Drosophila melanogaster: one gene and its partner. Changing the gene in region 2 together with the main gene of any one other region gives a genetic interaction. Each region holds a gene or a part of one and is shown on either strand. Other genes may lie near its edges.

Region 1 (4,696 bases), on a different chromosome or scaffold from region 2:
AGTCCTAATCAACTCAGCATAACTCAGCCAAACTAATGTCTGTGCTATTTACAGGGCGACCATCGCCACCATCGTACCAAAGACGGCGACAGCCACAGAGAGCGGGAGCGGGATCGTGACCGGGAGAGGGAGCGAGATCGCGACAAGGATCGGGACCGTAGGCGTTCGGAGAAGAGCAGTCGCCACCACAGTGGCAAGGAACGCCATCATCATCATCACAACAACTCATCGTCAGCCGCCGCTGCAGCGGTCAGTGCAGCATCAGTCCGTCGATCCCATGATGAACGCAGTCGTCGTCGCCGGGACTCTCGATCCGGTTCCCGCACACCAACGGGCACGCCGCCCTCTCGTCGCCGCCATCAGTCGCAACAGTCACGCAAATATCGCGAACGCGACTCCAGCAGCCGCTCCAGATCTCCGAAGGAAGAACAAGCCACAACACTTCGCGGTGGAGCTGTGGCCGGATCTCATATGCTGCTCGCTAAATCAGGCGGCGGAGCAGGATCAACGGCAACTAATGCAACAGCAGCGGCGAGGGTTGCAGCGGCCGCTCTGGTAGCTGCCAATGCAACAGCCGCAGCCATGGCAGCCGGTTCATCCGGCGGCGGTGGCGGCGGTCTCCTGCCCACGCCCAACTATGCGCCCAAGATACCCTCGCTGATGTCCTTGGAGCTGAGCACACCAGCGGCAGCAGCACCAGTCGCAGAACCCATCCAGCTGCCCAGTTACTACAATCCGAGCATCATCAATGCCAATCGCTATGCGGAGCAGCAGCAGAAGCGCAAGCTACTGTGGGGCTCCAAGAAGAGCGAGAACTCGGCGAACAAGTGGGGCAACGCGCACTTCTCCCAGGACTCCGACGGCAAGGTGGCCTCCAAGTTTATGCGGCTCATGGGTATCAAGAACGCTGGTACGTCCGGCAATGACGATGGCAAGGGCGGCCAGGCGGAGTCCACCAATGGAAGTGCAGCAGGCGAGGGAAACCGCGCAGTAAGAGGTGCTGCGCCATCGGGAGCCGCTGGCGGAACGAAAGTGCCCACGGACGTGCAGCAGCGCCAGCGCATGTTCTCCAACATGGAGCAGCAGTACGAGATGGCGCGAGCCGCCACACACACGATGCGTGGCGTGGGGCTTGGTTTCGGCTCCCAGCCACGTACTTTCTAGAAGGGATCGGAACGGAGGAGGATCGGCTCCCTGCCAGGCTGTAAATACCATGCCACTCACTCAACTCATTAGTCAGTCAATATGTTTCTCCTCAACAACTTTTTGTTTGTGTTGAGAAAATTTTTTGTTTTTTTGATTTCAAATAAACGTTGCAACAGAATTTATGAAGTGACGTGGCTCTCTCTTTGGATTTGCTTGGGATAAATGCGTCGTTAGGTAGACTTTTAGTCTACACTATTACTAAGTATGCTAAGAGTATCCAACTTTAACTACAAAGTTCAGCGGCTCTAATCGAAGAATGCTTGAATATTCAATAATAAATAAAGGTATTTTTTTTTACAATAAACAATTTTAAATTTTGGCACTCTGTTTAGTAGATGTCAGTTTTTTGCCATGCACCTTGGCGGTCGGTCTGCCTATCGCCAATCGATAGCTGACCAAAAACAATAACAATAACAAAATCAGCTGACGATAGGACGTCGGATATCGATACCATATCACAAACTAATAATAAAAATAATAATAAATAAGAGAATTAATACTACTAGAACACAAACAAAAGCATATAAAGCTTACACATCCTTTATTAAAACAAACAGCCAAATTGGATTTAAATTGTGGAACGAAGCAAACAGAACCGCTTGAGTTTGTGCCACTGCCACGCAAAAAAAATTATCGTTTCCAAAAAACTAAGCATACTTCATCCGAAATTAGCAATCAGCTAGCCAAAAGCGGAGTGATCTCGTCGAGAAGAGCCACGCCCCCTATCCGCCCACGCTGCCCAGAAGAGAGCAGCGAAGATGTCGTGGCTGAACAGCAGTCTCAGCCAGCTGAAGGGCCAACTAACCAATCTGGCGCAGGAAGTTCTGGCCGAAACGGCAGGACCCGGCGACTTGGAGTATGAGGGACATCAAGCAGGAGGTGCTAGCGTCCAAGACGCCGAGCAGCAGGCCAAGACAGCCCTGGAACTGCTGGCCGAAACCCAGGAGCAGAAGGAGCAGCTGGACAAGCGGTGCGAGGAGAAGGATCGTGAGGTAAAGCCAACTCACAGTCACTTTTGCGGCTTCTTCACCAATGGCCATCCGATTGCCCCTTTCAGATAGCCGCCCTGCGCCGAGAACTGGCCAAAAGCAAGCAGAAACAGGAATCCCAGCTGGCAGCCAGCACATCAGCTACGCGGGAACCGCAGTTGGTAAGTGACGTTTGATCCGAGGGACCTGCAGCTGGCCCCCATGTGGCCATGCCACATCCGGTGCCCACTCCGTCTTCCAGGAAACATTGCACTCCGGCGTGGAGTGGTGTTTGACCGGCTTTATCTTTCAAATAAGCGATAAGCCCAGCTCTCGCGCTCTCTGTTTCGCTTTTGGCCACATATCCCTGAATTAATATTTAAACTGCGATAAGCTAGGAGTCGGCACTACCCTAGTTTTATCTGCACTTCTCGCGTTTACCTGATGCCACATTGTATGCTTCACACGGAGAGAAAAATGGTTGCAGTGGCATATTGTTGTTTTCCGTGGCACGATTACAAAGCGCTAGAATTCACCGATTTCTGTTTTGCCAACAATTAAAGGGGGGTTTAAAATAAGCCAAGTTCTCGATTGCAAAGAATGTACTAATAGTATGGCAGGGTAAGCCATATTTCATTAGAGCGTCTTGAGCTTTCGGATTAGCAATCTAATGCTAAAAACGGTTTTATATTAACTTTCTCCTGGATAAATTTGAATTTGAATTTAAACTGATTTTTCATTTGACATCCATTCACCTTTTTCCCCGTGCAACTTCTATTTGATTTCACATTCGGTGGTGTTTGGTGTCTGCTATTTGCCTGGCTGTCATAAATCCCTGGTCTCCTTTTCGATCACCCCATATGCCTGTTAGCCTTATCTAGGCGTGCTGCTAACCCTATCGCTCCATAGCCCTCCGTTCGCCAACTGCTTGTTCAATTTACCGAATTATTTCTGATTAGGCAAGTTACTGCAGCGCAACCCCAAGTGTCTGATATTCCCGTTGAAAATGCAGGGTGACGGGGTTGCATTTGGAGCCATTTGGTTTGGTCACTGGGGCGATGGAGATCTTTCTGAAGCACAACTGTACCAGATTTTCCATAGTCACCTTAAATATAAAAAATATGGCTTTTCACATTGTAGATCTAGTTTTAAAATACTAAATGACATGCATATATAACCATAGCGTTAGATGTTATATTTTTTTCGAAATGATTGAATTACTCTTTGGCAATTTTATTAGAATCGTAGATACTTTATTTAATTCTTAAAATAATGAACCATTGTATTATGATCTAAAGTTCAAATCGATCGCATTGCCAGTAGGTAAAAAATTAGAAATCCCAAAGACTTTACAATATGGATTACGAGTATACTTTCAAACTGCCTGCTTTTTGAAATTTACGGTTCTTTTAATATAATATAAAGTTTTGTAGTTTTTTGTTCATTAAAAATGCTTTTAAAATTGATTGTTTAAAAAACATCAAAATATTTTAATCAATTTATAATCAAATACAATATGATATATATTTATGTTAATTTAACGTGCCATTATGATTTGCCAGATTTTTATTTGCTCTAAATCCGGTTTTGGTTGCAGCTTAAATTGGCAAATTGATCTTTCTAGTTTCGGCCATCATTACTCATGTTTTATATTTGTTTCTGATTAGCTAATCGATTGTGTAAAAATGAGTTCCTATCAAACATGCGAAGCATAAATTATGAGGGAAAATTGCATCATTTAGTACGAATATTCAGAGATAAACCATAAATACTCATTCCTTATCGGAGCTGGCGAAATCTGAACAGTAAGCAGTTGGAAAATCGATACGGATATCTGATACATATATATAATTCTTTCATGTAAGCGATTTTGATCTATTCTTTTAATTTAATGTCGATAGATGAATGGTTGCTCTAGTCAGCTAATTCAAATCTTGATCTTCTTGAGTAAGATATGACTTAATCGGCTCAAACTTTCATCATTTCATCATTTGATTTCTATATATGTGGATATATGTTTTCCCAGATTTTTCCTTCTGGGCTATCTCGCATGTACTATCTAAAGATAGCCATATCTTTTGGATCGATAGTTGGGTCACCATATTGTTTTGCATAATTGCGCCAGGCGACCGGCGATAAGTGTGCCCTCGTCCCCATCTCCATCCCCATTCCCATTCCCATTCCCATTTTCATTCACATCCCTCATGGCCCACCTCCACTGCCACTACCAACTCCTACTCCTCCTTCGTGAATATGGCAATCTGCTCCTGCCAACCATTATCATCCCCATTAGGCGGGCATTTGGGACATCTGCATGGCACCATGCTCGGGTTATCTTATCCGGGCCAAGCTGGCCAGGATCGAGGGGGTTGGTTGGCTGGATTGCCTGGATCCGGGGGCCTATAAAAGCCCGGTTCACCTGCTGGCTGGCATTCATTCGGTTCCGTGTGATCGATTCACGTAGGCCCGCATAAAGTGTTAATTTCTACTCAGTTTCTTTCTCATTCGGTGGGCACAGTTTT
Region 2 (3,820 bases):
TCGATAGGGGCAGTTCGTGAGATTGCAATGCTTACAGACTGAGCACCGCCTGCATGGACACAAAGAGCGCAGGTGCATTGATGCCTTCAAAGAAGAACTCGGCTGCCTTTTCGCGGTTTCGGCGCGGATTAAGCGGGGCCTCGGTCAGCAGCACGGGATGATCCTCCGTGAAGGTGGCCAGTTGTTCCTGGTCAATGCCATTTAAAACATTTAGTTAAGATTATGGAACATTTATGGACAAATTACTTTGCTGTAAATGTAGCTCCATATCCGCTCCATGTCATTCCAGTCGGTGACAATGCCGTGCTCCATGGGGTACCGGATGCTAAGCAGGCCACGGTGCTCCTCCGCCTTGGGTCCAACGAATATGTCGCCCTCCAGCGCACCAGCCATCACTCGGACATGCTTGGGCCGGCCAATGCTGCAGGAGAAGGCATTAGTTCTAGGGGTTCTTAAGGTTCGTGAGTGGTCCACGGCACTTACTAATTGGGAAACCTGCATTTTGGAATGTGCTCACCAGCAAAGCCGGCTTTGATCACACCGGAGCCCTGTCAAAAGTGATGTGGAATACATTTAGTTAGTTGCGTCAGCTTATTTTATTTAAAATTCAACGTGCAAACAGGAAATCTATATAGTCAACATGGAATCCTTTAGTGTGCCGGAAGTGGACATGATGACCGTGTCAAAGAATTCGCAATACGAACGGGAATCGCTACTAAAGTTCGCACCGCCAGTTGGACTGACCAACATCAGCTACGGCAGCTTGTACAAGGTGGACTCCTTCTATTTGGAGTGCCAGAAGTACCGAGATCAATTCCGCGATCCCTACAACAAGCTGCTGCGCCCCAAGATGTTCAGCACATACAGGGGCAAGTGTGGTGTGAAGATAGATCCCGAACTGGAGCGCTTAAAGCGACCCGCTGCCTCCCATGTGGAGTCTATTCCCGTGGTTTACCCAATGGAGTACGGGCACCAAATGGACTTCGACAGAGGCTTCCAGATGCAGGGACGCAACAGCAGGGATGCAGCCACCGCCCGCAGATATCCGTGTGTGCGTGTGCTGGGCAGATAAAGGGATTCCACGCAAGCTTTATAGACCAAATTCCCCGTTTTCGCTGTCTTCACTTCCGAATTGAACCATCTCTGGCGTTTGCGGAGCTATTCTCTCTGGGATTAGTCATGTTGGCCATTTGAAGACGGCTTGAAAGCTCGTTGACAAAGGGACGGGCGGTAGGTGATGTCACTGTTTGCTGGCTAAAACTTTGGGAACCCTAGATTTGCACAAAGCTACCCGCATTTAATGAGCCCCATCTCCACTTACGTTATCTATGACGACGGGCTGGTTGACGACGACATCATAAGGCTCCATTTTGTGCGTTTATCAAAATTTGCAAATTTTCTATTAAATAGTTGGTCAACAGGGTGACCGTAGGTGGTTGGCAGAAATAAACAGCATGTAAAAATATACCACGGCAAGAAATACTCAATATTTTACATGGTGGTGGTTTAAAGCTATATGGATATATATTTTCACTGTTTTTCTCTACATTTTAAAAATAAGCAGAAAAAAGTAAGAAAGTAATAATTATTATAAAAAAGGTTTTAAAAATAAATAATGGTTTTAAAAGAAACTCATGTAAGTTTCCATTGTCAAATCCGCACTTTACATGGCAGTATTTTTATTCATGGTATATTCAAGCGGTGGTATTCCGCAACGTTCCAACTGAGGTCATACTGATCAAACTGGATGAAATGGCCGAGGCGAATTTGGACAAAAAACCTGAGGTGAAGCCTCCGCCGGGCCTTAAGGCCATCATAGACCACCTCGGGCAGGTGTACCCCAACCAGCCGAACCCGCTGCAGGTGACCACACTGCTCAAGTACTGGCTGGGCGGTCAGGATCCGTTGGACTACATTAGCATGTACAACTATCCCGGAGATGTGGATAGGAACGTTCCGCCGCACTGGCACTACATTAGTTTCGGACTCAGCGACCTACACGGGGACGAGCGAGTCCACTTGCGCGAGGAGGGCGTCACTCGGTCTGGCATGGGGTTCGAGTTGACCTTTCGCTTGGCCAAAACAGAAATAGAGCTAAAGCAGCAGATTGAGAACCCGGAAAAGCCCCAAAGACCGCCCACCTGGCCGGCGAACCTGTTGCAGGCCATCGGACGCTATTGTTTTCAAACAGGCAACGGGTTGTGCTTCGGAGACAACATCCCGTGGCGCAAGAGTCTGGATGGCAGTACCACTTCCAAGCTACAGAACCTGCTCGTCGCCCAGGACCCGCAGTTGGGCTGCATCGACACTCCCACGGGCACGGTGGACTTCTGCCAGATCGTCGGCGTCTTTGACGACGAACTTGAGCAGGCATCGCGTTGGAACGGGCGCGGTGTGCTCAACTTCCTTCGCCAAGATATGCAAACTGGCGGTGATTGGCTGGTGACTAACATGGATCGCCAGATGAGCGTCTTCGAACTGTTTCCCGAAACGCTGCTAAACCTACAGGACGATCTGGAGAAGCAGGGTTCCGATCTGGCCGGCGTTAATGCAGATTTTACGTTCCGTGAGCTGAAACCTACCAAGGAGGTGAAGGAGGAGGTGGATTTCCAGGCGCTGAGCGAGAAGTGCGCCAACGACGAAAACAATCGGCAGCTGACGGATACGCAAATGAAACGCGAGGAACCAAGCTTTCCACAATCCATGTCGATGAGCAGCAATTCGCTGCACAAGTCCTGTCCCCTGGACTTTCAAGCGCAGGCACCAAACTGCATTTCACTGGACGGTATTGAGATTACCCTCGCACCTGGTGTGGCCAAGTACCTCCTACTGGCCATCAAGGATCGCATCCGACATGGGCGCCACTTCACCTTCAAGGCTCAGCATCTGGCGCTCACTTTGGTGGCGGAATCCGTCACCGGCTCGGCGGTGACAGTGAACGAACCGTACGGCGTGCTGGGCTACTGGATTCAGGTCCTGATTCCCGATGAACTGGTGCCGCGCCTGATGGAAGACTTCCGCAGCGCGGGCCTAGACGAGAAATGCGAGCCCAAGGAGCGACTGGAGCTCGAGTGGCCCGACAAGAATCTGAAGCTGATCATCGACCAGCCGGAACCTGTGCTGCCCATGTCGCTCGACGCTGCTCCTCTGAAAATGTGATGGTGTCCATTGGTTAGCTAGTAGTTATTTAAATTAATCGAATTGAATCTTCCACTAACGAGTAAGTTTTACATTTATACATCTCATCTAACACAATGCACGTGGCCTTTGCTCCTCGCCGGAGTCCAGTCAAAATATACAAACACATACATATACCCGAAACCACTCGACGGGCCTTTGATCGCAATATGAAAAGAGGAAGCGCCGGCGCCAGGAGCGGCGAACAATTCGCCGGATGAGTCAAGTTGGGGTCAGGCTATTGAGCACTGGAACAGTTCGCTTTGGTGGCTGCGGCGGATATGGCCACTTGCAGGCGGTGGAAGTCATCGCCACCGACTAACCACCAATTGATGGTATTGCGCAGTGGACCGCCGAATGCTTCAGTTTCTAATTCTGGGAATTGATCAATTAGAAGAGCATTCAATTTGAACACAAAATCCCGCCCGGGATCATGTGATTGCGCGAGGAACTGGACCTGGAGCAGCTGCATCATCAGCCTGGCTGATGGGAAACCCTTGACGCATCGCTTGTCTGAGCGTTGCCTAGGTGAATTTTTGTTTACCGCAGAGAACAGTTGCTCTGCTTCTCCGATTAGGCGCCCCTCATCAAGTGAGCGAGCGATTTTTCGCAAAAACAGCTCGTGGAAAATAATTCAGTTTTC

Evidence for each region. Genes that interact genetically often act in the same process or in processes that back each other up.
Region 1: of Su(fu) (region 2) and Gmap, changing one enhances a phenotype caused by changing the other (phenotypic enhancement), as found in Drosophila melanogaster (one study listed by BioGRID).

Annotation. Positions count from the first base shown.
Region 1 is NC_004354.4:15,485,278-15,489,973, forward strand, and holds the start of Gmap (golgi microtubule-associated protein), read left to right. Parts: upstream 1-1,644; 5' UTR 1,645-1,964; coding exon 1,965-2,198; intron 2,199-2,263; coding exon 2,264-2,356; intron 2,357-4,603; exon of another isoform or gene 4,604-4,696. Other genes in the region: CG6340 (uncharacterized protein), read left to right, coding at 55-1,164.
Region 2 is NT_033777.3:12,689,371-12,693,190, reverse strand, and holds Su(fu) (suppressor of fused), read left to right. Parts: upstream 1-1,722; 5' UTR 1,723-1,752; coding exon 1,753-3,159; 3' UTR 3,160-3,318; downstream 3,319-3,820. Other genes in the region: CG31347 (uncharacterized protein), read left to right, coding at 641-1,072; Arp1 (Actin-related protein 1), read right to left, coding at 36-187, 247-421, 484-548, 1,322-1,369.